Drosophila melanogaster: one gene and its partners. The protein of the gene in region 3 interacts with the protein of the main gene of each other region in a pairwise test. Each region holds a gene or a part of one and is shown on either strand. Other genes may lie near its edges. The genes, in order: scramb1, mamo, CG34198 and CG13133.

Region 1 (10,373 bases), on a different chromosome or scaffold from region 3:
TGTGTGTTCATTGACAACCTTCACACTTTTCCAGTTTTTACCGACATATCGATTCAGTTGCTCAAAGCTCTCGATTTCCCGACAGAGATAGCTACCATTTCCAAGATCCTCGCACTCCTGAAGATCCTTACCGAACACTCCGGACAGAAGCAGCAATGCCAAAACTTGCAACGCCTGCATTTTTACTACTAAAACGAACTTCTGCTTGAGCCAAGTGCAATGCGTTAATTTGAGTTTATTTTTATCAGAGCAAACTCGTTTCAGTTCTTTAGTTCAGCTAAAAGCCGGTTTCCGATTCCATTTACCGAAATCAGCTGATGATTTAGTGATGGCCTCAGTTCCAACGAAAGGAAATTGTTTTCAACACGAAACTTGCTCCGGAAAACACCTATATAGTTTTTTAAAAACATACATTTTCGTTGTGAAACAAAATAATTTAGAAACATTCGAGTATTACGGACTATGAATTTATCTAGGGGTTCCAGCAATTTATCGTTAACCAGTATATAAGTTTATAATTTATTTAACTTTTGTTGTAATACATAAAAAGAAAACCTTCTGTTCCATAATATCAGTAGGGATATATATAAATTTCCTGATGCTTAACAATATACAATGTTAAATATATTTTTCTTTCCATAAGACACTTAACATACAGTTTAAAGTACATGTTTCAATAACGAATCATTCGTTAGTTAGTTGTCGCTTCAGAGCATCAATACAAAATTCATAAATAAAGCTGATTTGTCGTTGAATACTTTACACAAGTAATTGCTGTGGCAAAATAGCAAAAAATGCTAACTTAAAGTTAGTTTTATATTCTGGCAATGTCCTCTCGAAGGAAGCCTGAGTTCAGTATGTTCATCAAAATTAACAAGGAGTTTCATTAGTGCGATCCATTTTCATCAATAAGCATTTGGTACAGAAGACTAGTACGCGACAGTTCACCGGGAAGATATTTGGATAAAGTTGCAACTCAAGATAATGCACAACATTTAATCGTCGCAATCGCATTCGCAATTGCCACAAACGCCACAACAATCGGTTGCAACGCATAAACAATTCACGCACAAGCCAGCACCCGATTCCTAAAGCATTCCGGGCCTATCGGTCTCTTGGTTTCCGGCTTTCTCAAAGAACATGGCATCCTGTGGGGCAAACAGAAAGCATTCGTTTAGAAAACAGACAGAAAACATTGACGAGTGAAGGACTTAGTGCTGGACTAGCCTACTCAAACTAAGCTGGAGGATTTAATGGGCTGGAGGGTCAACATTACCTCAGCACCAACGAAGTCTGCGTTGCAGACGTCTTAACAGCTTGAACCGATAAAAATGAACACTATACAACTGATTGGCAGAGGCCAATGATAAATAACTACAATAAATCTTTGCTGAAAAGAAAACACTTACTATGAGGAATGTGGCACCCAGCAAAACGGCCTTCATGCGCACATCCAAGTCCAGTGGGAAATTGATGCCGAAGAAGTCCGCATCCGTGAAAATTTCACGTGCCAGGCCCGACCACTGTTTCGAGATCTTGCCTATCTTCTCACCAGTGAGCGAAACAACCTGAGAATCAAAAAATATTAGTAAAATCACACAGAACATTTGAATTTTATAAACATACATTGAACTCAACGTCGCCGCAGAGCGAAAAGGTGCAGAAAGGTCCTTCGATGCGCATCACCGTGTCACCCACGTGGTTGAGGATGCGGAAGGATGGCGAACAGATGGACCACTCCTGCTCAATGGTGCCGATAACATTGCCGGGTGGTGCCGAGACCTCGATACTCTGCAGACAGCAGGGAAACAGACAGGAGGAGCAGGCCAGCGGGCGGTGCATGTGGATCACTTCCTGCTGGAAGTTATCAAAGACCCGCATGTCGAAGGGACGCGCAGGACCACAGCAATTGCGCGTGCAGCAGTCGTTGTCCTCCGCCGCGAAATAGACCTTCTGACCCAGGGCGTTCTTGATCGTGAACTTGTTGTTGGTCTCGAAACCAGTGAAGGCCTCGAGCAGCTCGACCTTTTGCTTAACTAAAAGCTGGTCGATAGTCGTAAGGTACTCCAATCCGCGCGGACAGTTCGGAATTCCGGTAGGTATACTCATCCAGTCTCCTGCAAATATAATACTCATCAATATCCATTCTCAATAGAAATGAGTGGCTTAAATTGTTATAAAATTAAATGATACATGCATACAATAAAACATACAACCAAAACAAAGAAGCACCATTCAAACTAAAGACTTTTTCGGTTACGGTATAATTTGATTGAAGGGAATTTAAAAATAAAACTTAAAGTGAACTTTATGAGAATGTTCTCTTTTTCCGACTTCTTATAATCTTGGCGGTCAAATTAAATTAGTGCACACAAAAGGCTAACTTGTTCAGTGCGTTCAGTGGCCAGTGTGTCAATTGGTCAATGTCAGCGACACAATTACTCGGCCTTTCTAATTGGAAGCGTCACAATGGAGCATGCCCCTCCTGACACATCCCATGGATAACCCCCAGCCACAAGCTATTATGCTACCTCACCCATCGGCTCTTGTATCTAATCGGCGGTAGAAAGATAGTCTTTATAACGGGCTCTAAAGATAAATCTACTAATAAATATTTAATTTCACAATGTAAGAAAACCTTGAAAAGATAATTTTACATAATTTGCACCAAACTACAAAAGGCATATCTTAACGAAACTACTTATTTTAAGTATTAGCGTATTTTTATATATTCCTAATCATTCCTTTCACTCACGTTCGTTTTCACTCAATTTTTTTAATCAAAAAGGTAGTGTAATTTATCTATTACCTCGCTGAGTATTTCATTTTTTATACACTCGAAATCTTAAAAGGTTCATCATTTCAACCCGTCATCTTCATCCCTACAGTTTCTGGTCAAGACCACAATATGACTTCCTTACCTCCTGTCCTCGTCGCTCATGTAGAACTCGTATCCCTTTCGCTTGGCCGACTTATTTAGTCTCATTGTGTGCCTGAGTTTCTTGGGCAGTGGTTTGTTGGCTTCCCTGCAAACCAGTTGCCTTAGAGTCTGGGATCTCGAGCAGATCTGATTATACTGGCTATACAGCGAGTGCCAGATTAAGCGCAGCACCTTGGAGCCGCTCCTCACGCCCCTGGAATGAGATTCCTCCGGATTTCCCCGATTTTCGCCACCACTTAGGTCCAGCGTGGAAACACAACTTGCTGGGTTTTCGGTGGACATTTTTTCAGACTGACACGACTGCCTGCTCTGCAGCACAGAGATGAACTAACTGCTCGTTGGGAAAAATCAACGCCATCCACGACGACGGGCGCTTTAAATGACGCTTTGTATTATTTTATTGGTTCAATTAAGGCAGACGCTAGGCACTCCGATAAGCGCCAAAGATCTGGCAAAGATATTCAGCTTATTTCGGACGGATCCGATGCACGTGTAAACAAAAATACAATTGATAAGAGGCGGTCTAAGAACCTTAAAGTCTCTAACACTCTCCAAATTGACTACGTAAATGTTTGCACCCCACTTTGCTTCTGGGGGAACCTTTGTTCTACACCGATCTTGACGAGCTACCTCTATCTGGGACGATGGGTTCAGTGCCTGCACCCGAAGAAATCTTAAGACAACTGATTGGACATTATCTCAATCGCAGGGCAACGACACACCGACACATCACAAAGATGCGATCTTGTTTTGATTCAGCGGTTTGTGTAGTAAAATTATATAAGAAGTAAGCTCAGATATGGAATGAATAATTTTAACAAGGAAGCAGAAAGCGATAAAAGTCTCGTGCCATGATTTGAACACCCTGATTTGTGTAGAAATATGTGAGTCCAACATGTAGAACATTTGTTTTATGTTACAGACTAGTTTTTGATTACTTGCCTGCTGGTCCGCCCTGTGGGGCCATCCCTGGACCCATTCCCGGTCCCATTCCCGGTTGCGTGACAATGGGCTGTTGTGGTTGTCCCGGTGGATAACCGCCGAATGCGTTTGGTGGTCCTCCTGGTCCTGCTGGTCCGGGAGGATATCCGCCGAAGGCCTGGGGCGGTGGTGCTCCTCCTCCGTAGTGTGGCTGTCCACCAGGACCACCTACATAAGGTGGCTGTCCGCCTGGACCACCCGCATAAGGTGGCTGACCACCTGGACCACCCATGTAAGGTGGTTGTCCGGCTCCGTAGGGCGGAGCTTCTCCGTATGGCGGCATTTGGGGAACTGGAGCGTATCCGGCTGGCTGAGGACCTGGCATAAACCCCTGCAACGATCGGGAGTTGATTAAAGAATGAGTTGAATACTTATTTCAGGGGCGTTTCGATTAGTTTTTTGTGCTCTGGCTTGTATTCTTGTAGCTGTACTTATCAGCACTCTGGCACGCAAATGTATGGAGTAAATAAATATTCTATAAGAATGAAAACTTCACGCGGTTGTGCATGAATGATGAGTAATATTTTAAGTTTATCCAAAACTTAATGGAAATAAAACGCTCTTTTGGCATGAGTGAAAAACATAGTGAAAATAGTAAAGCCATAAAAACATTCATACGTAAATGTAAATAAGTAAATGCAAGAGAATTAAGCTTTCGACTTGCTTATCCAGTCTGCATTACTGGTTTTACAGTATGTATGTACATATGGATGTACATTGAGTTCTCAGTTGTTTGTGTTTATCAAACCGCCGATTCCACGGATTCGCGTGCAAATCGAATGAATCTCTTTCATTCCACAGCAAACTGACTGTGTGTCTGTTGATTTATAAATAAGCAAATACCAACTGGCATGACGTCATGGTTGTGTTGTGCTTGTACAAGAAGCACCCTTTACACCACCCACTTTCCCTAGCATTTTCATCGGCTACAGCGGGACACTTTTGGAACTCACGTAATTCGTGGGCGGCGGCGGCTGTGGATGACCGGGTGCGGGGGGATAGGGGGCGTTGTGGCCCCCAGTGGGCGGTGGGTAGCCGAATCCTTCGGCGGGCGGAGCATTTGGCTGGAATCCGGATCCGAAACCGGGTGGGGCGTAACCGCCCTGATTGACGTTACTCTTCATTTCGTGGGATTTCCCCGGATTTTTCCTCTTTTCCTGCTCTTCTTCTGCTCTCCGCGTGCTGCGTTGTTGTTGCACTGGAGGGGAATTGTTGCGGCCACGGCCCCAACGAAATCGCAACAATGTTGTATTTGTTTTGCACGCACTTTCTGTTAAGTACAGTAGTAGTTTCGATAGTAATGCAGTTCGCGAAATCAGGTGGGTTTCGGAGTGTAACCGTGACTGAAGAGCGAAAAAATACCAGCTACACGCTAAATATGCCAAGTTTTTAGCGGACAATTTCTCTGGTTTGAAAGAAGTTAGATAATTCCTAGAATGCATAACTTTAAATACAAAGTTCAGTTATATGAATTAAAATTAACAAATATTAAATATATTTTAAAATTGAATAGATGGCGCCATCAATCTTTTTAACAAAATGTTTACTTGACAATGTAAAAGTCATGTATAAATGAAATGTTTTCATAACAGCATTGCTCTATTATTAGCAGAATACAGCAAGCAAAGACACCATCCAAAATTGAAACGCCCAGTAAAGACTCAAACCTACGAGCTTGTAACTTGGTTTCTTGAAATTTGAATGTGAATCAGTTACATTTAAAAACTAATCTACTACGCTCTGAAATTATTAGTTTATTTAAACGGTATTTATATATTTCCTAAAAAATAAATAAATAATAATATTGTTTTATATACTAAATGCTTAAAGAAAGCGTTTCCCTAACTTTAACATATGCTTATTAAAATAATAAGAATTCGCATAAAGTTACTTATTCAACTAGTTATTATTATTGTTTTCAGCATAATTAAAATTTATGTTTTAGAAGCTATTTAGTAAATAAGGCATTTCCTTTGATTATTAATTTATGTTTTTAAATTGCTTAAATTTACATTTTGTAATATACGTTTTTTCTTGCTTTACTTATACTATAACTATATCAAAAATACAACTGTCCAAATTAAATAGAAACAAAAATCGTATAGTTAAAAAAAAAATGCTGAATAAATCCATTTTGTATGCCACAACTGGCTCAGAGAACAGTCCACATTTTTTCTAATGCGCAAATTTTCATTGAGAGGGTGTGCCTCCCCTACACCTCAAGGGTGCGACAGAGAGGGGCTGCGTGGTAGAAAGGGAGAGAGAGGAATAGAGAGGGCGGCGTAGTTGGCGCGCATAAAAAATGGCGGTTTCCGACGCAAGTAAAACGCAAAAAAAAAAATGATGGAAAAAATGTGGGCAGGGTGAGCGACTGTTGTAAGAGTGAAAGAGACGGGCTGTTGAAATGTGAAAAAAATGCTAAAAACCGTGTATATAGAAAAAAACTGCGAGCAGAATTCCACCCCATGGTCATGGACATCTAGCAGACGTCCCTCACTCACTCACACACACCACGGTAATTACCCATACAAATGCAGCGAGAAATGGAGGAATCGTCATCAGCATTACCGTCATGGTGGAGGACCACCCACACACCGCGCAAAATCACACATTTCGTCCTCGATGCTATAAACTTAGAACCCAATGTCCACTGATATATTTCTATATACTAAATATATTCCTTAAAGGAACACAAAATCCTGCACAATAAAATTTTCACTACGTTTGCGTGATGTTTATTTACAGCTTGACAATTTTAGAACTATTATACGAATGTATAATGGAATATATTATATATTATTAATTGACTTATATAATTTGCCTAAAAGCTATTGTTTCTTTCTGTGCAGGGCGGATTTAGTGGATCTAGAGGGGTCCTGGAGAAGGACTCATCAGGGTCAGGGAAGAAATCCAGAACTGAGCGTTTAATGCGCCATATAACGCAATATTTGTGCTGCTGCTGTGTGGGTGAGTTTAGCACATTCAATTAGTTGACTTTGCAATGGCAGCAAATGCAGAATGCGAAAATAAAACAACCGACTGAGAATTCGCATTCAGAATGGGGACCGGGAACGCGAACATATTTGCGGTTGGCAACCGACCAAAGGCACAAAAGCCGGGCTCAGCAGTGCAGCAGTTGTTGCCAGGCCAGCCCCCTTTTGTGCCACCACCACCTTTTAGCCCCTTTTGGCCCCACCCATGACCTTTGGGCCAGGGCCGTCGCTGAACGGTTCAGTGCAGGAGAGGCTCTCAAAAAATCAGGCAGGCGGCAAGCAGCCAACATAATGCAATGGTAAACAGCCATGCGGGTCCCTACACTGCTACAAAATCCAACATCAATACCAAAGGTTATGCAAAAAAGTTAACTGTGTACATATTAAATATCAAATAGTAATGATCACTTAAATCGACTTACTTTCTTTTGGATATTCAGCAGAAAATTTAAACCACCTATACTATTTTCCACTGTGCACCAAAGACCCTTAAAAAGCCCTGGATCGGGTTTCGTTTGAGCCTTGCAAAGCGCCTCATTAGCCGTCGCTTCGTCCTTAAAGCTGCTGGCAAGGAGCAATTTCGGGCGTTGCTGAACTTTCTGTCCGCCAATCGCAAAGGCGATCTAATTTATGGCCCTGTCTTTAGCCTCGAAATCGAAAGGATCGGAGCGTCTGACAATAAATCAAGTTTCGGAGATGCGATCAAGTGGACTTCTAATGTCCCGATCGATCAAAGCTTCTTTGCCACGCGGCCAAAAAGTTGCAGCTGCTGCCAGAGATCCACAAACCAATGAATCATTGTAGAACATATAAAATACAAAAAGAATCAAAGATGAAGAAGACTAAGCTTACTCAACCAAAAATAAAGAACAAATATCCCGGTTCTTTGAATTCAATTCTAAAGACATTTGATAACAAAGTTTCTCTTACTTCATTTGGAGTACTCCTACTTATCATCAAATTGAAATAAGGTATCAGCCTTCCTTTAATTGAGTTAATTCATTTCGACTGTTAACTAAATAATATGAAATATCCTTTCTTTTAAACAGTAAGGCATATATAAAGCATATGCTTCAAAATCAATAATCTTAATAAATTTCGCCATTGACGAGTCTGCAGTAATCTTTAGACCATATATGGTTTCCCAAATCTGGCGAATCTTCACCATTTAACCGAATCCACATTGCGTCGGGTCAGTTAAGCGTGGGAACACACACATCCCCGTTGCGAAAAATGAAACGAAAAAAATGTGTCAATGCCGCAAAGGGGGGAATTGCAACTGCCACTGCATTTGGTCAATGGCCAGTTGTTTTGGCCCTCCTTTTCGCCAGCTGCGCCATCGAGTGCACATGTGCATATGCCAAATGCAATCACGATGTCGCGATTTCCAAAACGAATGACAGGAAGTGCCGAGCCACAGATACACAAAAAGAGTGAACAAAACGATGTGCTGCAGAGAGAGAAAGAGGGGGGGGGGATTTACACACCTGGCTCAAAGCATTTCACCTTGCGTGGGTCAGTTACCAAGTTCACAAGCGGAATGCCAAAAGGGCGAAAGTGTTTCCTAGCTAATTGCTTAATTACGATCCACGGACACGAAGAAAAAGGTCACAAGCCGGCTGGCCAGTGGAAAACTGGGTCAGAAAAGCCGGCGGAAAAGGGTTGTGCGGCAAAATCTTAATGAGTTTTCATTCTGCCATTGGCCTCGTCCTTCCGAATGTTTTCCAATTAAAAGCACAATGACCCTTCTCCCAGGGCCCTATGCTAATGAGCCCGGCACGCACTTTACTCTTAGCCCGGTCCCTGCAAAAATTAATTACCAACCAAGTGTTGAACTTGAACTTGTTGTCTGACCGTTTTTAAAGCTGGCTAAAAAATCAATAACGAGATTTTTAGCGGGCAGCAGGATTCTAGAAATGAGGAAAGGGTTGCAGGGTGGACCTTGTCTGGTTGCCACATGTCATGGTAAAAAATTTAAATCAGAACCGACAGCAGGACGAGCTAAATGAGTGAGTGTGTGTATTTTTGTCCGATTTTTCTTCCCCTTTTTTTGTGAACCCTTTTCTGCGGCGCTTTGTCCTGGCCGAGTGGCTCAACCCTTTTTCTCGTTTTTTTTTTCTGTATTTTTTCGGCAGGACGCTGGGCAGGACTTTGACAGGATGCTGGTCGCTGGCACACGGTAATTGCTTATTTAAGCGCGCGCCTTTATCCTTCAACGGGATATGCCTGGATATGCAAACAAGGGGCAGCGCCGAGGAGCGGAAAATAAATTTGAAAGAACCGAGATGCGAAACAAAAGGCCAAGTAAATGCCCCGTGTAATTACCGGCCAGCGGAGGGCGGCGAGGGGCGGTGCAGCTGTCTAGCCGGACCATCCGAGGAATATCCAGGATTCAGGACTCAGGACTCCGCAGCGAGTTTGCAGTAGCATCCCGAAATGAACTGCAAATCAAGCTCGGTCAGCGGGTAAGGGTTCGAGGGTAGCGGCGAACCACGGGTCACCGTGCGTGCATATTAAAAATCTTTTCGGCATGAATTTTTACGCTGCCATTTGCGGGGATAAAGCAGAGATTCACACTTCAAATAACGATTTGTAATACATTTTTAAGAAGTCATTGTAATATCTTACATATTAACAACTATTGGTTGCCTTAATTTACAAGACGCTAACTTTAGGCTCCTTAAGTATCCAAAGATACTATTAAGTACAGAATATCCATTCTATTTTTAATGAATTTCTCTAGAATACATTCCGAATTTAGTACGTTTAAGTGCATCTAAAATCATCGAAAAACAATCTAAAATCTAAAATGTTTTTCCCAGTGTAACCCAAAAGGGTTAAGGCCCACTCGCGGGCAGCTTTCGATGTGCAGTCAACTGCGAGGTGCCTGTCTGCCTGCCTCCGAAATAGAGCAGCTGGCACTATCTAGTCTAGCCTATCGCCATCTACAAATCTGAGCGGGTCAGAGGTCATCGCGGCCGAAAGGGGTGGCTCCGATCGATCTGCCTGCCCTTCTGGGGTTTTCACAGATTGTCGCGCTTCGGACTTCGATGATAGATTTGATGGAAAAAAATGGACAGGGTACTGAAAAAACAGACGGACAGCTGGTCGACAAGCGCAAACAACTTTTGTTAACAACTCAATATGCATGGCAGAAAAAACAGCCACAAGACTCTTCGTTCATAAATTAAATAAAGTTGACTTTGGTTGGTGCAGTGGAAAAAAATATAATTAATTTCTATATTATGCAAATAGGATAAGATCAGAACGACGAGATTATAACAGTATCATATCAATACAAAATTTAATATTCCAATGTATAAAGCAGCTTAAGCTAGTAGAAGTCATATACATTTTTATTGGAGTAACTATATGAGTTGTTTGTAGTGTAACTGACTTGATCAGACCGTCGATCTGTTAATGGCTAGGGTTTAGCAAGCGGTTTAGCATGTTGGGGA
Region 2 (8,102 bases), on a different chromosome or scaffold from region 3:
CCTCCTCTTGCAACCGCAAAGTTGCTTCTTGTTGTTTTTACTTTCCCTCTCTCTTTCTCCTGCCCCTATGCCCGTCTCGTTCCCGTGCCTATACCCCTCTCTGTCTGCTCCGGTGTCCTGAAACATTTAACGGAATTCTTTCTTTCTATTTTTTTTTTTTATTTGCCTTTCGTTGCTTTCTTTTTCTTGCTTGCGCCCATGCACTTATTTTGTCAAATGCAAATATAGACGTTTATATATATATATATACGTAATATATATATATATATATATATATATATTTGTAGGCATATACACATATATATTTACATACTCCAGACAGACAGAAAAAGAAGGCTCCATGAAATACAAAACAAAACATAAAAGCGAACTTGTTGAGGAAATCTAAAAATTTTGTTTAATTTGCTGCACTTTTTTTTTCGCCCGACGAATCCAGCCGGGCGTATGCGTAATATTTTTGTTATATGTAGTTCTTTTTATATTGGCCATTTGCCGTCTGGATTATATTGATTTGTCTAGACAACGGCAAGCCAAGCGCCAAAAATCGGTTTGGGGAATGACTGTTACGGCTTGGGTATTGTACGTAGAATATCCCATGTTTTTTTATGGCGCTTTCGGCACTAGCAAAAAAGGCCATTGGCAATTTTTTTTACACATCCCTTGGGTTTGTGACGATTTTTTGCCCTCACTCTCTCTCTCTCATGTCTATAAAAATTAATGTAATTAGTTTATGTCAATTTAAACATAATTCAATGTACAATATATATTTATACATGTTTTCTGCTATTCGTTTTATATATGTACTATGTACTTAATTTGATTTTTAAGCAATATATTTGTTCAGCAAATATGTACTTAAGGTTCTTATGCTATGTTAACTTAATACTTAATTTTTTGCACTAGCTTTTATTGAAAAACGTGTTCAGCACAACAGGTGAAACTGTGTAGCACATTTGCAATTTTTCAGCACATTAACCGCCATTAATCAATGGTTGCTCAAGCCACAAAACAATTACCAGCACTTAAGCATTTGGGCTCAGAGCTACCCTGTACTCGCCTCTCTTTACCTTTTCGGCCATTTCAATTAATTCTGCTCATTTATACGAGGAGAATCCGTCTGCCAACAATGTTGCACCTTATTCAATTGCCGCCAACTGCACACAAAAAAAAAAAAAAAAAAATATTAAGAGATGCACAAACAAACAAAAAAAAACGCACGCAAGCCATTAAAAAAAAAAACAACAACAAAAAAAGAGGAGAAAAAATACGAAACGAAACAAAACAGGCTGACTTGAGGCACTTAAAACACCCGAGACCCCATAATGAGTTAATAATTTCAACCGCTGGCAAGTCGACCGGCAGTTGCTCATTAGTTGCACTCACAGGCACACTCACACACACACACACACAATCACACTCGCGGAAAATAATTAGAAAAAAACACACGAGCGAAAACTGTTGCACATAAAAAAAGAGAAGAAAAACACACGAACAATATCCACACAAAGGCAACGCAATTACGCGAATTGTAATGAATTTTTGCAAACGAAAATGTAACTGAAATTAAACGAAATGGAAATGTCAAAAAATAAAACATGATATACTATATGATATTAGAATATTTTGCAAATCTTGTTGCGTCTGCGCAGTATGGCAAAAAATAATAAAAAATAATACTATTTGAAAAACAAAACAGAAACAAAAAAAAAAAAAACACGAAAGAAGCCATTAAAACGGCGCTCAAAAACCCCCCACCAAGTGCAATGGGAATGATATTCGTTTGTATGGACTCATTTCTTATAAATATTTATAATTGCGATAAAGTCGAGAGACAGCGATGGGAATGAGGATAAGGCGCGCTAAGAAGCTAGACAGTGCGTTTCGTCTTGTTAAGGTCTTGTGTTGTGGGTTTTTAATTACATGAAGTGCAGACTTCTCTTAAAAAAAAAAATCCACTTTAATTTTAGAACAAAACACTTATATAAGCTTAATAAATTATATTCGTTTCAAATCGTAGCTATATAAAGGAGATATATTGCTTATAATACTTAAAATAAAATCTAACATAACTTACACTACGTTTATAACATTCTATAGTGCTAACAAAACATGTCATCTATTCAAGTTGAATCTTAAAGTTTTCCAATTTCTTTAGCGTTTTTTTTTTTTTGCCCAATTTCCTGATTAACTAAGCTAAACAAAAAAAAAAAGCGATGATTAGTTGGCGCCTCTGGTGGCGCCGGAAGTTCGAGAATTTTCTTCTTGCCGATTCTATTCGCTGGCGACTTCTAAAACTGACCAAGCATTTAGTTAACTTACTTTTCTTTTTGCCAATTTATTGATTGGCTTACTATTTATTTCTTTATTTTTTTTTTTTTGTCTCTTTTTGCTTTGTCGATATATGCATTTTATTTTTTGCCAGTTGTTGTGGCCCAGAAAAGTGCATTTCCATTTTACATATTTGATAACATTCAGCAAATTTTTCCAAAAGCGCATCCGGTTCAAACGGGAAGTGCTACAGTCGTCGCCAAAAGAGCGGTTGATAAAAAAAAAATATATATATATATATATATATATATATATATGGAAAGGGTAACAAAACTGATTCGTGAATAGAGTTATGTATACGTCTGGGTGTTTTATTGCCATTTTTTATATCAACTAACTTATGTTTATCTTCACACTTAACTATAGGCATTACGATTAAGTTCTTTATAATCAGCAATAACTGAAGTCTGTCTGAATAATAATATACAAATATTATATATATATAATCAAAAATATTATATCTAGCATACATTTATAGTAGCAATGACCCTAAAGTGTATTTCTTATCAAAGTTAAATTGTTTAGCACCTTATTTTAGTTAAGTCACCAATGGCTAGTAATTTTGCAAATATTTTATTTAATTAACGCCGTTTTTTTTTTGCAATTCAAAGTTATAGTTTATTCAAGGCTTCTATGGACAAAATTAATCGCAAACAAGTTTTTGTCCAACACTTTCCATTCCTCTCACTTCACACTTTTGCTATTAATCCATTTATGGCCAAAATTCATCCAAACCTAACACTTTTCTTATCGAGTAGCACTTCGTGTTCGATTTTTGACCCACGCAAACACTTGATAAAATAATATCGCAAACGAAGTGCCAAATAAATGATTCGATGATTTGAAAAATTGTTTGAAAAGTAAAAAAAAACTCACCATAAACGCCAAACACCGCAGTTTCAAAACTTTGTTCTCGTTCTTCTTCTTGTTGTTGGTGTTGTTGTTGATGCCTTTGCCGCAGTTGTTGGTTTTGTTGTTGTTGATGTTTTGGGTGAATTTCTTGTGGTTGTTGTTGTTGTTGATGTTGTTGTTGCACTTGCTGTTTGCATTGAATTAAATTTGACTTGATTTTTGTTTATTTCCACTTTTCTGTTTTCTGCGGTTCGCACAAATTTTTCACTTGGAAAAAATTGTTGTAATTTTGTTGAAATCAAAGAATTAAGGTGCAAAATAGGTTTAATTTCCTTTAACACAACCTTAGAGCATGTTTTTTGTTTAAATTGTTTGCGTTTTTCTATTTGAAATGAAATTGTAGTTTTTGAGATGGGGAAAAAAACACAAAATAATTGCGGGATATTTTTCGGTATTTACTTTAGGCTGTTTAGATTTCGAAAAATGCTCCAAGTCCAAAAAAGTTGTTGTAAGTTTTTCTAAAGTTTTTAGCTTGTTGTCGCTTTTGTTGTTGTTGTTGTTGTTGTTGTTGTTGTTCACACACACACACGTGCAAAGCCGCCTTGAGTTGTTGTTTCATTTGGTTGTTGTGGTTGTTGTTGATGTTGTTGTTCTTGCGGTTGTTGTTGCTGCTGCAGTTGTTGCCCCTGTTGTAGATGTAGTTGTTGTGGTTGTTGCATTGTTGAAATACAAAAAAATTACGCTTAAGGATTTTCTTGCTTCTTTTGTGTGGTTGTTGTTGTTGTTGACTTTGTTAAAAACTTTCGCTGTTACTTCATTTATTTGTAATTTTTTATTTTATAATAATATATTTATAAAACATTTTTGTTGTGTTTAAGTTTATGCCTGGGAAAAAGTATACAAAAACTAGTGTTAGAAACCGACGCAGAGCACTTGAAAAAAATTCAAAAAAAAATTAATTTCATGAATGAAGGACAGAAATGAATGCAAAAGGACCTATTACTCGAAATTCGTGTTTCCAAAAACCGCGCACAAAAATAAAGAAGAAAAAAAAAATAAACGATAAAGAATCCAAAATATTTTCCGTACAAATATTCGTAAAATATTTGAATATTTTGTCGCTTGGCAAAATGTAATTTATTTGCTGTTTGCGGCTAAGGCTAACGAAAATAAACACGAACGAACGTATGAAAGTGTCTGCAAGAACTGCAATCGCATCGCGTGTGAAATCTCTGCGAAAGTCCAAAGCCGACAGAGCTGCAAAACCAAAAAGCCTGGCCAAAAGCCCAAAACCCAAAGAGCATTGGCGTTGGCAGCGCGGCGGCAGCGCTGCGACTGCGACTGCGTTGCTTCGTATTGCCGAGTGATTCCCGTTCGCCTATGTGTGGGTGCCCCTGCACATCGTAGTCCATACGTATGTGTGTGTGTGTGTGTGTGTGTGTGTGAGTGGTGTGTGCTTGTACTAAGAGCGCCGCACGCGCTTCGTAAAAGAGCAGCGTCGGTGAAAAACGCAGCAAAGCTGAGCCAAAATGCACCTCGTTTCCCACCGCGAGTCACTTTTTCTCTTTCACTCAATCGCAGAAAGTGCACGGTGCGGCGCTCTCTCTTTTCGCTCGCTCGCTCTCTCTCTCTCTTCGCAGTGGACAACGCAGCGTATGCGTAATCTGTACGAGTGCAGCAACATATCATTCAGAAAATAAAACCCACAAACACTCACACAACCGTCTGCCATATGTTTCCCGAAAGTTTTTGGGGTTCAAATAAAAGGACAAAGAAAGGTCCAACAAATTAATACGCAGGACAAGAACTCTAGTTGAATGTGCATTATTTTTAATAATGCCATATATGCCCTCAAATCACTCAAATAAAATTGAAACTATCATTTTTATCAATCTTAAAACGGAATGCAATCTGATCGATTTTAATGGTTTGCAAGAAAAATATTAAAAACTGATAAATTCAACAAAACAAAAAAAACAAGGTTCGAAACTATTCTTTTAAATTTTTTATTAAATTCAATAAATTTGCTTTAATAAATCTAACAAGTTTTAATACATTTTCCAACAAAAATGATGAACTTATCATTTTTAAATAATTATGTTTATTCACTGGTTTAAAAAAAAGTGCGATTTTATGTGCATGCCACAAAATTAGTAGTAAAGCACATGAATAAGGCTAAATGAAAAATGTGGCAATTCGTTTTAATTCATTTTCATACAAAATTTAAAATCGAAAATTGTAATCTTTAATTACAATTACTTTCACACTAAAACCTTAAAAGTTTTAGTTGAGTATAATACAAATACATTTAAAATTGAAGTATGGAAATATTTAAACTTTAAATAATACAATGCAATTGCCAAATTGACATAAAAAAGAAACAGTAAAAAAATCATTGAAATATCATTTAATATTTAGAGTTCTAATATGCACTAAAAATTCCGCTCAGAATATTTTCAACAGAGCTCTGCGATATTCCGTCGGCAATTTCTAATCTGATGTCTAAGCTGCAGTTTTTTTTTTTTTTTTTTTTTTTGGGTTTTTTTTTTGGCACTTGTTAATCAATTCACAAATTCAGGACAAGTGACAATTTAAGAAAACACATTACAATATTAGTTACATATTATTTTTTGAGGGCCTGTTGCAATAAATAGCCACTACCTAGCTACTAAAAATTTGCCTAAAATATTTATACACTTAATTCGGAATTGACATTCTTTATAACTGCAACTAACTTCTTAAAAACATAGTTTCAATCCTTCAAAACACTGGATATTTGAATCTTTCCTTTCGTGGTTTCGAAATGTTATTATTAGAACTTGTCAACACTTGTAAATAAGAATGAGTAAGCACACAAATTCAAACATAAAATGGTGTACAAATGAAACATGAAACATTATGCATTTTCGAAATGATAAACAATATCCTTTGAATGACTTTAGTTGTCCTTGGAAAACGCAACATCACTAGTTTCCCTCTTAAGACTTTTAACTTGGCTATGCATGATTAAAATCCTTAGAAAAACACATGACCTTTTGGGGCACTTAAGTGATCCTCAACAAACACAAAATACGAAAATTCTGTAATTTTTTGTATATTATATATATGTGGTCCTTCCGGTTTTTCTAGCACTTTGTCATAAACACTTTTTGAGAAACAGCACAATTTGCTAAAATCAAAAATAGTTGCTGCTGCTTTCACTTGCAATATTTTATATTCAAAAAAAAAAAAATTCTTAAAAACACTTGAAAAAAATAATGAAGTTACGCGGCGCGATGTTGGATTTTTTACTGCTAATATAAATATATATTTTGCGGGTATTTTTGTAAAGGGAAGAATTTTATTTAGAAATTACTTTCGACACAGGAAAAAATGCGATTTTTTGTCGATGGATGATTGATAATATTTGACTTTTTTTTTTATTCGTGATTGATGTTTTGAATTGTTGTGTTGTTGTTGTTGTTGTTGCTGCTGTTGCCGCAGGTTGTTGTTTTGTGTTGCAGTTGTGTTGCAGTTGCCGTTGCAGTTGGAATAGGTGTGTGTGAATGTGTGTTTGGTGTGTTTGTTAGCCGAGACAGAGAGAGAGCTGTAGCTTTTCTTCCGCGGACTGCGTACGTGCGCGACAACGTGCGGATCTGTTATGATTCAATACGTTTTCGATACGTTTCGTTTACGTTGCCGGACCGCCGATGACGACAACAGCAACAGCAGCAGCAGCAACAGCAGCAGCAGCAGCAGCAGCAGCGGCAGCAGCAGCACACACACACACACCCGCACACTCATAGAATGCAAAAAAAAAAAAAAGGAGAAGAAGTAGCAGAACGCAAAAATATAGTGGTCGCAACTTCACTCGAATTCGCGAGTGAAAACCTCGCTCCGAAAGAGCGAAAAGGCCGAAAAGAGTGGAGCAAAAAGCGAAAAACGCATTGCATGTGTGTGTCTGCCAGCGTCGACGTCGACGTTGCAGTTCGCGAAACTCTCTCGCACTCGGCCTTCAAAGAGGCCGCTACTTTTCGGCCCAAAAGAGAGCCGTGCCGCCAAAAGGAAAAGGAAGAGGAATAGAACTCAAACTCTGGCCAAGATTGAGTGGAAATCCGCCACGCTGTCAACTATTTCAAGATCAATGTGTTTAACGGCAAGTAAGGTAGGAAATCTTCTAGCACACATTTTCCAGGATTTTTTCGGGCAAAATTATATGTGATTTTTGGTTTAACACAAGTTGCGGAAATTTGATCTTGAATATTTTAAAGAATTTAGTTTCGCAATTTTACAAGAGTTTTTTTTTTTATAAATTTTAAAAATGTAGTTAAAAAGGATTTTTTTATATACCTAAAAAAAATATCATATATAGCATCGTTTTTCCGTCTTTTTAAAGGTTATATAGAGCTTAAGAACTTTTCAAGCTTTTTACTTTGAAAAATTACTCTTTGAAGCATTCTTGCCATATTTAAATTTAAATTTTTAATCGAGCATTTTGCTTATCAAGAGCATGCGAAATGTTTTAAATGTATTAAATTTGGAAAAATTAATTTCCAAGTATGCATACATTTTAAGTTCTATTTAGTAACTTTCGGTTCAATATCACAAATTGAAAAACTCTATTAAAATAATAGTGTTACATATATATATTAATTTACAATGATGCCAACAAATATTTGTTTAAGAAAGAAGTTTATAAAAAATACAAAATAATCCAAAAAGATTCAAGATTCGTTTTGCCTTGCAGTCATTTGATCTACACATCTAGCCAAATTTTGATGGGCATTGAAGTAGAATTGTTGTTAAAATATATATATAATATTTAGGCCCCAACTGGATGATCTAAGGTGTAAAATATTGCACACAGATAAGAAATATATTCCGCTGGCAACAGTCTTAATTAAGAAAAAATTTTAAACTGCACAATTCTATGAAAGAACGGG
Region 3 (5,971 bases):
CGTATCCCTCTGAAGAAGGGGATGAATGTGTCCACACGTAGACACTGAATTTTCTTTGACAGCTGGCAACAAAAAAATGTGGTTAGCATTCTGCTGGAAAAGATACCTCGCTTGCTTAAAAGCCTATCTATACGTTTCCTTGTTGAAGATAGAGGAAATAAAAATCTATGCTTGTTTATATTTATGTTTGAGTATTAGCAAGAAGGGTGGTTAACTTTCAAGAAAACATTTCACCAAGCAGTTTTATCAAAAAAGGCGCTACAAGGTCGGTAGTTTAAAAAATCAAAGGGCTGTTATCAGCAGACAATGGATTTTATGATGTTAATGATTTATCGAAACTATCTGTCTGCGTGATATCAAAATTGTGTTGTTAAGGGAATGTGAAATTGAAATAAAACATTTATTGTTAACAAAAGCACTTTGTATTACCATATCAAAATAAGGTTCAGCACTTAAAACCAACTTGTTCGACTTTCCATTAATGCATCGTATATTAAATTGATATGCTTTTAAAACTTTGCTTTGAATGCAAACTTTGAATCATCACTCCGATTAGTCATCCTTAGTTTCAGTCTATATATTTAGCGTTTAGTTTACATAGTTCTTATAGCAATCATTTGACAACAACACAATCTACATGATGACACACAGGCCACACTCCTCCATGACACAACAGGCTCCTAGCAGCATGCAGCACTCGGCGTCACTGGGTCCTTGGGGGGGTCCTGGCTGATTGTAGCTGGGTTGCTCCACCACAACCACCGGCTGGTTGTAAACGGGCGAGGGCATTATCACCTCTACGGGGGGCGGGGGTCCAATAACATTCACCACCTCCACGGGCGGCTGATAGTAGGGATCGATCACGTCCACCTGGTAGCCTGCGTTGTACATTCTCCTTGTTTTACTTTTTTACTAATTTAATGACGGAAACTCCTAGTTGATAACTAGTAACTGGCCTAAACTGCTCGACTAAGTGAGCCCCGTTCGGTAACACGCCTTTAACTGAAACATCGAACACAAATGGTTGGCGGTTTGGTGGAAATATCTTACTCATTATTATCTAAAGCCGGTAGGCATTTGATCAATGCCCTGCCCTGATTACGAATTTGTGTACACGCAAATAACATAGAAAAACTACAGGTACAGTGGAACACATTTGAATATTCATTGGAAAACACACCCAATTTTTTTTAAAAACGTCGCTCAGATAAATATTCTAAATATTATGTGTAGATAAACATTGGCTCAAACTTACCAAATTTGTACCCCATTATTAATTTCTTTCAAGCTAAATAAATAAATATATAATGTAAAAAATCAATAAAAAAAATATCAATCGTAACTAACAATAACCAATGCAGCAAATTGACTATTTTGGATTTTAAAAATTCGTTCAAGCGATTTACACCACTTGCTGTTTCTAAACTTGGCCCCAACCGCTTTCTAAAAAAGGCAGTACTGGTATTTCCATTTTTATTAAGATTACATGTTAGCCCAAGTATCTCAAGTATTTTATATTAAACTTGGAAAACAGGTTAAAAGTGTTAAATTTTCCTACTCTGTTAAACTATGGGATTTTTTCAGCCTGTTCACTTCGATATCAATACCACGGTTTTCCGTCTGAATTATCACAGTGCGTATGAGTAATAAGGTTTGGGCTTTAGATAAACGTTTGGCAAAGAAGCATTGCGAGTCAGAAATTATGTTAAATGAGCAGACTACTAACTTTGGAAAAAGGCACTCGCATTCGTTGTCCGACTCCCGCCCACATAATGTCCCACTTTGGGGACCCTCGTCAAAATATTTGGGGCGAGAGCTCCGACGCTGCGGTTGCAATTCAAGAGCCAAGAGTCATAAAATCCTTTATCAAATGAGAGCAGCATGGGCCTGGAACCGGAGTTGGCAGCACTCTTGACACATTTTCCGCTTTTATTGGCAAATTGAGAAACATATAAATAATAACTCGGAATGTGAACTAACTTTGAAATGATGTGGTGAGCATTTCCAGCAGCCAAAAAGGATTGTCCCCCTGCTCGCGCATCATAAAACTACAAATTTTTGTGGGATGTTATTAAATTTGGCTTTTTATTATATTGTGGTACTTTCGCATTGGGATTTATGTAAGACAATATGTTACCAAGCGTGTTCCCTTCGCCACAAAAAAAATGGCAACCACAGTGTGAGCCCTACACAGAGTTATTTATAACGAATCGTAAAATTTTATTGCACGAAAAAACTGTGTGAATTGTTTGCGGCCTCCATAGACATAGAAAGTTAATTTAACGTAACGAATTAGGGGTTCTGAGGTCCTTTGCCTGCGGGCACCTTCGTCTTTCACATGATGGTGCAGCAGCAACAGCATTCGCCACACTGACAGCAACAGGGGCAGCAAGGACAACAACAGCAACTGTTATCCTTGGGAGGAGGCGGCGGCGGAGGAGGTTGCACGATCACCGTGGTCGAGGGTTGGGGTGGCACTTGCACCACCTCCACAACGCGAGTTCTGTGGTCCATTTCGATTGGTTGTAATCCGGTTGTTTTCAATTATAAAATGTACTTGTTGCACCGCACGCGTTTAGTTCGGCACTGGTCATATTGTTGGGATTGTGCTATTATAGCCGCGCTCTCGGCAATCTCTGCTATGGGTGTTATCTATAGATAAAAGCAACTGGAACTCTTATCAGTGGCCAGCGATTTGTGTGAAGTACCTAGCGATTCGTTGGGGTCCCACCTTGGTTGTCTAACCAGCTTTATGATAGAAAACTACAAAATCGATAGGTTATTTATTACATGATTTTATTTATGAATTCGCTGCATTCAAGCGTTGTTGTTCAAATAAACAAAGGCCTTTCTTGTAACTTACAAGTTATGCAAAATCTGATAATATACTGATAATTTTTATCGGGTTTGCTGTATACTGTATTATCTGATGTTTATTTTTCTTGCAATTCAACAAACAACGTCATCATCATTTTCCAAGCCCTAAGATGTCTATATATTTGGTTATATTTTTATATTTTTTATCTTATACTCTATTCTTTGTTATTTACTTTTACTTGGAGTCAGATTAGCACTTTAATTAAACTCGTGTTCGGCACTCTCATTCCCCTATGACTTTATCAAATGAATGACTCACATTACACAAACTATCGGGGGAAACTTGAAACACACAAATGTCGCATAATGCCAAATGGGGCAGCTAATTATATATGCCACCTTATCTGAGCACTCAAAACTATATCCGACGACGCATTTTGCATTCAAAACCAACCATTCGAGTGGCCCCATCAGCATCAGCGGCCACATCAATTTCGGGCGAATAGTTCCTCGTTGCTATCAAATAGCGGAGATCTCAATTAAAATTTTCACCCAACACCGCAGATGGGGTATGTGTAAGGTGGTTGGTTGGCTTTTAGAGCGGCGTTACCTTGCTGAAATTAATAAAAATATATATTTTTGAGCGCCCTTCGTGCAATGGCGATGATAATTAGTGTACGTGATTCTATTTACTTCGACTGGGTCCCCAAACCTCGATGGATCCCCGTAGCATCCCCAGTTGGGAAAGGGGTTGGTTGGTTGGCTGGTCGGTTGGTCGGAGGGTCCTTTAAGGCAAGGGAATGTCCCTGTGTGTTTGGAGGGTGTAATATGATATGCGCGTAAAAAATATAGTACGTGTGTGCGTGACAATGGCAACAACGTGCGGCAGATCCCTAAAAAAGGAACGGATGGGGAACATCGGTTTTGGGGGACCGGCGACGAATGCCGGGTGTCAAAAATGAAACTACGCCTGCTCGGAATTTTAAAATAAGCAAATGAGTTTTAGCTTGATGAAAGCCAGCAACAACAGTAAGCAACAGCAGCACCCCATAAATATTTATAAACTTTCCCCTGTCATATAAATACAGGGTCATTAGTTGGCTTGCGCACCTTACGCCGGAGGTTCCATTCCCTCCTCGAGGATAATAAAAACGAACTAGGCGGCAATTTAAATTCCTCTACTAATAGAGTCGTTACTTTCCTCCGACTCCAAGAACATAACTAAAGGGTTAATGGGGTTCACGCAGATTTATTATTGGGAGGGTTGTTTAAAACCGGAAAGGGGAAGTGGGAGCACTGTTGTTTTAACCAGTGTAAAGCAACAGTTAAGAACTGCAGTAAAGGCAAAGAATCCATTAAAAATATTACAAATCAGGCAAATAAGTTTCCTTATTACAAGCCATGAAAATATTTCAATTAGAACAAATTTAAATCCACTGTTCGGGTTTATAAATAGAGTATACGCAGTGTTGTCCAAATGCAACAATGGTAGGTTGAACTTTGGTCAGAACCAAGCCTATTGGCACTGTTTCTGTATAGACACATATAATATATATAAAAATGATAAAGCAAAATGGCGAAAAGTGGCAGTAAAAAATAAAATGCGCTGCCGCAAAAGTGCCATTTGTGGCATAAACACATGCGCGCCAAAAACTTTGATAAGACAAAAGCCGAGCCGAGGCTACCAAACCAGGTAGGCAATAGCTGGCAGGTGGGTAGGCGTGCCATGTGGGTGGTTGTTAAAAAAGTGGCAAGCGGCAGGATGAAGGCCAAAAACTTTGCCAAGTACGGCGGCGGCGGGAGAGCCAGAGTGGAAATGTCGCAAGAATGAACTTCGTCGTTGGATCCTGCGACCGCAGTGTGCCACTAAATGCTGCCACTAAATGTGTGCCAAGTATTATTGCAGGTGCCACCAGGTGCCTATCTACACACACACACACACACACGCGTGTGTGTGTGCCAGTTCTCTGCCGAAATTGCCCAAGGAGCACGAGGAGCAAAAGGAGCTGCTTCTTGAGGTGTTCGCCGCGCCAGCGGGACTGGCATAAAATTAGCACAATAAAAACACATAAATGCGGCACAAAAACATGAAAATCCACTTGTTATAATTTAATCGAGTTGATAGAATTTTTACGACTCTTCTCCAGGTATATGTACAATATATAAGTTAGTGTGTGTTTCTCTCAGAGCCTTTGCTTAAAATGTGGGACAAAGTAAAAGTTTTAATCACACGTCGCCATTTTATTGCTGGTCATGAAGATAGCAAATGCATTACGAACTTTACGTGGGATAAACTTTAGTTTAAATAGAAATGTTAATGAACGAAATCACTTACGTTTTACGAGCACATTTACTTTCTTTAAATATAGAATTAACATTTAGTAACAAGTTAAATTAAAACACAAATATTTAAAATTTATATTTATTTCTTTGGTGTAACCGTAAAATAGTAAAACAAATGTAAAATAGTCAAGTATATAATATTAACCACCTTGGGAGTCGACATCCTGGCCGCTGACCAGCGAGTGGGTGGCAACAGATTCGGACTTGCTCACGCGGCGAGCCTGCATTAGGGTGGCCCGCTTGTTGATCGAATCCTCCGTGTTGCACGCCATGCAGTTCTCTATGAAGAGAATCAACTCTGAAGATTTCAGAAAATGAGCAATGGGCAGAGCATCTTCTAGGGCTTCCTTGGTCTGTTCCAGCTTGTGCAGAATGGCATTGGCCTTGACTATCTGAACCACACTGAGGAACTTCCACAGATTGCTATTGCAGTTCTTGCTCTCTAAAATATATACATATATATAAATGGTGTTGCAAACAAAAGGCGATATAGAAATTGATCAATACAAAAAATCATTTTACCTTTAATTGCCTTGCGAGCATTGTAAGTGCACTCTGAATGACGCCCTTGGTCCAAATAAGATTGCGAAATCTGGTGCAACAAATAACACTTTTCGATTGAATACTTGGCAAAGACCATTCGATGTTCCAGGCGCGCAGTTAGCCTCCTAAAAAATATAACACAGATTAAAGAAGTCTATATTAGGATTATGGGTATTTCTCTCGTACTTGGCCCTTGTAGTTGCTGGATCGTTGCCCTCCGGCTCTGGTGCTCGGTCCCCAAATGTCACGGGAACAAAATCCTTGACCC
Region 4 (6,679 bases), on a different chromosome or scaffold from region 3:
GTGTGTGATTGAAAAGTTGCCAGCAGAACATTCCAATCGGCGCCCGCAGTGGATCAAAGGGCATAGAAAATAAAAATTAGTTGTGAGCCGCATACCGATTTCTGCGGAGTCGCGAACCGGGAAATATAAAAACCATGAAACAACAATGGAAATGGCCCATGGCGATGGTCGATGATGGTCAATGTTTTCTCTAGATCCCGGGAGCGGAAGAGGTGCATATGGGTGCGTTTTTATGGACAACAAGGCTGTAGGCCTCATCCAGTTATTTAAGCACGGACACACGCACAATATATATATATATATAAAATATACGATTCCGATTCCATCGGAGTGTTTTATGAGTTCATAAAATGGGTGTGTAGGTGTTTATTATCGTTGTGTTATTTTGGTTTGTCCCCGCCGTCACCAATATGGCATGGGAAATTGAAATTGTGAAGTTGCTTTTCTGCTGAATATTTTATCGCGCGTCCTTCGCCATACTCGTAAATATATGAATATCCTACGGCCCGGAAAGTGAGTCCCCCGACCAATATCTTAAAGCTGCAGGCATCGTAACTAGATTAGAAAACAGGCAGTCCGTCCGGGCATCCGACAGGATGGGCACTACGTTCGGGGATTCCCCTCTTAGTCGAGGGCGCCATATAAAAACTTTATTAAACGCAACTACGCATAAAAACAAAACGATGACAAAGTGTACGCGACCTCGTCTCCTCAATTGGCAATTTTTTCAGCTGCCGCGCTGCGGCCTGCAACAATTCACTTCAAGATGTAGCAAATTTCATTAGAATCGTAACGGGAAAACGTGTCTCAACGGCTAAATTGCAAGGGACCAAGACCGAATCAAAAACGGAGCAGTAGCCCACGATTTTGGGAGAAGGTCGAAGGCTTGATTGGGTTCTTATGAAGTGGGTCACACGCCCCAAAGTGCCCAGCCTTTTATTTTTTTGGTGCAAAATATGTTGGAGCTTAAGATTGTTACCCAACTATTTTTAAACTTATTCTGCAGATAGTAAATCATTTCATCTGACATTTAATTGCAAATCTTTTCATGTATCTCATAGCTTTTGAAAAGAGCTTTGTAGCTATGTTTTATTCCCTTTTTTTTAGAATTTTCTTGGGTCGATAGCCAAACTAAAATACATATGTACGTATGCCTACGTCTATTATACACTTCTAGCTGACTAGCTGGGTTTCTTTATTGTCTTTTTATGGGCCATGTGCCCGAGGATACGAACACAGACAAGAAAAACACAAAAGGTGTTAGTGAATTTTATTCAAATTTGACGCTAATCAAAAGCTGCGTGACAGGAAAGTTAAAAGCAGCGAGAAATCCAATTCGCTTGGGTTTTGAATTCGAGCTGAAGTTTTCCCAGAGGCATGATTTATCCCTGATTTGGGTTTGTTTTCCCGATTAGCTGGAGGATATTTTCATTCGGATTGTACTTGAAATAACAACTTGGTGGAATGAAACATTGTTATCTTTAAATACCTTGATCCGATTTGATTTAGAATTCATTAAATGTAAATATATTTTCCAGTGAAATGTTCATCTTCATTATATTTAATAATTAAGCTCGAAGAAAATGAACAGCCATTGCAAAATACAGTACAAAATAAAACAGAATACCGTTTAAATAAATGATAAGATTAAAGGTGTTAAATTATTTCTTCGAAAAATCTGGAAATATTCAAAACTCTCCTGTTTTCTGATAAAGTCCTTTATTGGCGTTAAACAAAATCACAAGCGGATATGAACTCTTAAACGTTATATTGAAGCTACCTTAAGAAAATTCTACAAAATGTTGACTTCGCCATATTTGCTCACGTTTCGAACGAAGGACTACGTGCTATCTAAGCTGGAACCCAGGAACAATCCGAGTGATTTTGGTTTCCACGAAAAACTCCAACGTGCATGTGCGCCAGGTGACTGGAATGTGCTTCGACTGTCTCTCCGTCTGATATACTGCAACTGCCCTCCAACCGATCGACTGCCTCTGGCGGCCTAAACGCATTTGGACTTCCGCCTCCACTTTGGTATGAGCAAGCGGAACCGCCGCGCAACCGCCAGACGTCGCCGGCTTCATTTGTCCATCGCCGTGCCAGCAGGATTAGCCTCTCCACCATCGCCGTCCACATCCGCCTGCTCGATAGCCTTGGGCGCCGTGGGATCGGACACGCTGCCAAAGTAATTGCCCGTGGGCTCAATCTCGATCTCGCGCTCCACGTCGTCCAGTTTCGGTGGTGCTGGCACCGTAATCATCAGTATTCCGTCCGCAGAGAAGGTGGCCCGTGCCTGTGTGGCATCGTAGTGCCGTGGTAGCTTGTAGGATCGCGTAAACTCGCGAGTGATGCACAACTGACCCTTCTCCGCCCGGTCATCCGCCTGCTTGCCCTCCACGCACACGGTGTCGCTGTTTTTGGCCTTCACCGTGAGCTCAGAGATCTGAAAGTGGTGCACGTCCAGCACCACCTTGAAGGTGCCCCGACCCAGGGAGTCCGGTTCGGTGCCGGTCTCTATGACCACTCGCCCAACCAGACAGGATCCATGGCACCAGGCACTGTCGTCCATCCGCAAGTGAAAGTCCCGCGCACATACGTCCAGGTCGTGGGAGAGATAGTAGTGCCTCTGCCGGCACTTGGACTCCCCGGTGGACCAGTGGCGACGCGGCGGTTGCCAGTGATGGTGACCATGCTCGTGATCATGCTCCCAATCCCAGTCCCAGTGGATGGGCATGACTGCGCCACCGGTTCCCGATGCACGGACTCCGGTTCGTTGGACACACGGAGCAAGCGTGTTGATTTTTGGCTTATGTGGCCAAAAAAACCGTTGCCCTCCGCCCGGTTCGACTCTTACAAGCTAACTGAGTGGATGAGGTTATGGTAATCGCTGGAACTTGGAGCTGCACAACTGTACCTGGCACCAAAGCCACTCTAACTGAGCATATTTCTGTTCCACCTTCAATGGCGTTTTTAAGTACAGTGACTCTTCAGTAGGTGCGACTCCAATTCGATGCAGGAAAGGATCATTTAGAAACATGCACGTAAACCAAAAGATATTCTTTTAATTAAGTTGGCTACAGGTAAATGGCTTTTTACTAAGTGATAACTCTCAATCAGTTACATATATCAGGATTTTACTGTATCGCGTTCCTTCAGTGGGACACGCGTTCCCGGGAAAGTGGGTCTCAGCCTTGTCCGACAACTCGAACTGTTTGATCAATACCCGTCCCACCAGCAGTCCAATCAGCCGCGGAGCTTCGTCCTTTTATTGCACAAGCGGCGCCAAGGAGCCGGAATCGGAAGACGGGACAAGGAGAGCACAGTGCACACAGCGCGAGTTGAGCCAGTTATGAGATAATGCCAAAAATTTTGAATCAAACCGAGTGCTGGAGGAATGGCGAATGGTGTCACTAATTGTACCATTGTCACCCCGCCACGGGAAGAGCAAAGCAAATCCGAGCAACTGAACTCGGCAGACGAGTATGGCAGACGCATTGTGGCAAATGAAACTAATGAAAATCGTGACCCCACAGCAACATTGGATACTTATGCACTAAGAGAAACTGCATGGATATCTATGAAAATCGAAAGCTACTCCATGAAGAGTGGCAAAAGTCCTTGTTAAAATTGTATACTTATTTTAAAATTTGAAATACACTTTTTTTAGTGCGTTTTTTTTTTCAGTGTGACTGCAGTGCTATCCAAACAGCTGTTAACAGGGTGCTATCTTTTACGGAAAATATGGCAAAAGTAAGCAACCAAATTTTCTGATTGGCTGTAGATAATGAAAGCTGCGTCGGATTAAATTTCCCGCCAAATCCTTAAGGCTCGTGGGACCAAATTACAACCACTTCCTCTCGATTTGCACCCTGTATTCGATAGCTGTATTCCATTGTCCTTAGACGACGACGACGACATCGTCGTTGCGTTGTCAAGACAGTTGTTGCCTCTTTGTTGCTGCCATTTTTGTACCACTGCTGCCCCGGGTTGAGCCAATTTGTAAAATATATACGATATATATTTTACTTATGTCTGGTGCTGCTGGGGTCAGGCAATTTGGCTGCTCGCGCTGCATGGCTGCTGAAATTGAATTTTTGCTTTGGCTTTTAAGCAAGTTTGACAAATTTTCAGAGCACGGCCAAAAGTGACTGCAACAGTTTCGTTAGCTTCCAAGCCAAAAGTCGATGTTTTCTTGGCCAAGGGAAAAGCAGAAAAGTCAAAAGGGGATGGGGGCCAAGGGGTAGATGGGTTTGAAATTGCATTGACAGGCAGTCAAGCCCTTCCACTTCATGGCGCTGGGACAAATATAGATTACGCAAGTGCTTAGGGTTAAGCTAATATTAGCAGGAATCTAAATTCCTTCCTCAAAAGGTCAATTGGTTTGCTGGCTACAAATTGTGCACCGCTTTTACATAACACATCGATGCCAAAGACGTCAGAGAAACGTACAGAGCTTAGTTTTTAGCAAGCTCCTGTTGATCGAATTAGCTGGAATTTGTTAGGCAAATAAAATGTGGGAAAAATGGATCTTTGTTGGCTGCTTTTCAGTCTTGAACTCAGTTCAATTCAGACTTTAAAGGTGTTCGCAAGCTTTAAGTAAGCAAAAAGTGGTGTAGTTTGCACAATAAAAGGACCTCGATTATTTCAAGCGATTAAGGATATTTTTGAAAAGTAAAATCCAACAATTAAGACAATCGAAGTTGGCTTAATGAGAAGTATTTGCTTAGCCGCTGCTTCAATAATTGTATTACTACTGTTGTGGCACTTAATCAGCCCAACGGCCTTGTAGTCCTGCAAATCCTCGCCCCAGATTGCAAAGGACACAGGATTAGGGGCGCAATTAATGACCGTGGCCATTGATTATTTTACACACATGTGTGTGTGTGTGTGTGTACCTACCGCCTTCAAATGGCAATTGGAACGCCAAGGCATGTTAATCAAAGCCACCCCTGTTTTGGGAGTTTGGGGCCAGTTAGCCATGGTTGCGGGCCTCTTGGCAACCAGCTTTGGATGCCTTAGTGCCGTGATTGGAAAATAATTGCATTCATTAAGTGGGTTATTGCCTACGACGCTTGCGATAAACATCTGCTAACTGGGTCACAATTTCGGCGACTGGCAATCCAATAGATTAACGGCCGAACGCCTCAGTTTGCGGGCTTAAAGGTATCTGTATCTGAACATAAGGTTCGTTACACTTGGCCACAACGGATTGGTTGATAGTGTTCCGAAAGCTCGAAACTTCATATTCTTAAAATGTAGTTAATGTTACTAGATATGTATACTTATATTTATTGTCCTTTATCTAAGTCTAAACACAATTACTTTATACGTGCCTTAAGCAAACTGTCTAAATGTGCCAATTGGTTGCCAATAGCCATCGGTGGTAACTAATCAGTAGATGGCCAGTATTGGCCATATTTCGATAATAAATAGCATTTGCCCAAGTGAACATCTCCCTGCGGTGAAATCAAGCATTAAAAATTCACTTACTTCCGGTTATTTTAGTACGCAAAAGTAAAGTCATCGGACGGATTTAATGTGTAGTCGTTTGTATAATGCAAAGTTGGTAAATGTCCAAATGAATGACTTCACTCACTTCACTTTAGTTAAAATATTTACTAATACTTGCCTACCCTCCATTTGCGGGGATTTTGGGTGGAGTAAAACACATGTTTGCGGCTTTGTACGGCAGTCATTTTTTACACATCAATGCGTCCGAGTGGGCCACGCAAACTGGGCGAAACTGAAACTGATGGAAGGTCTGCCAGCCACGTGGAGGTCCTGCAGCAAACAAGGATACCATGTACATGTGGGGGATCCGTACAAATATGCATAAAAGTAATCATAAGTCCGGATCCCCACCACCACCACCACCACCACCTCCTCCTCCATCACCATCATCATCATCGGATGGGGCTAGCTGGCGGAATGGCCATGGAAGGGTCCGAATTGTTCTATGTAGCAGTTGGCATTTGGAAAACGCATAGTTGGCTTCACTAGATAACAAAAACTGAACTCCGAGAATAGATTTGGTTATCGATTTGCGGGAATGGGGGCCATACATTTATTTATTTGAAAGGTAATATTCGGATGAACAATCCTTTATTCGAATACCGCATAAAAATAGAACACATCGTTATCAATTTGATGGCCATCTGCCGATTGAATAACAAGTAATACAAACTATATTTGGTTAAATTGTTGCAAAGATAAAAACAACAATTTACCATATAATAGTTATATTCCTAAAGAGTTCGATCCATTTCGAATGTTTTCCTAACCAAACAGCTTATACGCGCATTTTCTTGAAATTTTAGATATTTTTAGATTTCAAGAGAATGGAAATTTAAATTTCTGGTCAGATAAAAACAACTTTTGGCAACGTTTCGTGACATGTAGTTTCCAAAAACGCGTTGTCCCAGAATGGCGAAAGCCAGCCTGCCAAGGCTTAAAATTTTGTTAATGAATTGCGAATTCTATCGGCATCTGCACCGCCCTGCGCACCGCGTACTCATTTAACCAATCCTTTCCAAGGACCTCCGTTTCGCTCGTTTGCCATTCACGCAACACATTTAAAGTTTGAGCTTTGTGGTGGTGCTTTCGGCTGCAAGGCGAATTGTCAAGGCAACATGACGGGCGGAAAGTGGGTGGTGTTGCTCCTGGTAGGGCTAAGCTGCTC

The links.
Region 1: the proteins of CG34198 (region 3) and scramb1 interact in a two-hybrid assay, tested with the Drosophila melanogaster proteins (one large-scale study listed by BioGRID).
Region 2: the proteins of CG34198 (region 3) and mamo interact in a two-hybrid assay, tested with the Drosophila melanogaster proteins (one large-scale study listed by BioGRID).
Region 4: the proteins of CG34198 (region 3) and CG13133 interact in a two-hybrid assay, tested with the Drosophila melanogaster proteins (one large-scale study listed by BioGRID).

The regions. Positions count from the first base shown.
Region 1 is NT_037436.4:10,219,985-10,230,357, forward strand, and holds scramb1 (scramblase 1), read right to left. Parts: upstream 5,257-10,373; 5' UTR 5,047-5,256; coding exon 4,876-5,046; intron 4,254-4,875; coding exon 3,884-4,253; intron 3,277-3,883; exon of another isoform or gene 3,224-3,276; coding exon of another isoform or gene 2,922-3,223; intron 2,118-2,921; coding exon 1,627-2,117; intron 1,569-1,626; coding exon 1,410-1,568; intron 1,149-1,409; coding exon 1,089-1,148; 3' UTR 501-1,088; downstream 1-500. Other genes in the region: CG32055 (uncharacterized protein), read right to left, coding at 1-180.
Region 2 is NC_004354.4:13,982,010-13,990,111, forward strand, and holds the start of mamo (maternal gene required for meiosis), read right to left. Parts: upstream 4,434-8,102; 5' UTR 4,362-4,433; intron 4,066-4,361; 5' UTR 3,205-4,065; intron 1-3,204.
Region 3 is NT_033778.4:19,680,386-19,686,356, forward strand, and holds CG34198 (uncharacterized protein), read right to left. Parts: upstream 2,593-5,971; 5' UTR 2,515-2,592; coding exon 2,335-2,514; 3' UTR 2,061-2,334; downstream 1-2,060. Other genes in the region: CG15127 (uncharacterized protein), read right to left, coding at 634-891; CG15128 (uncharacterized protein), read right to left, coding at 5,301-5,602, 5,683-5,828, 5,890-5,971.
Region 4 is NT_033779.5:10,089,502-10,096,180, forward strand, and holds CG13133 (uncharacterized protein), read right to left. Parts: upstream 2,889-6,679; 5' UTR 2,735-2,888; coding exon 2,081-2,734; 3' UTR 1,707-2,080; downstream 1-1,706.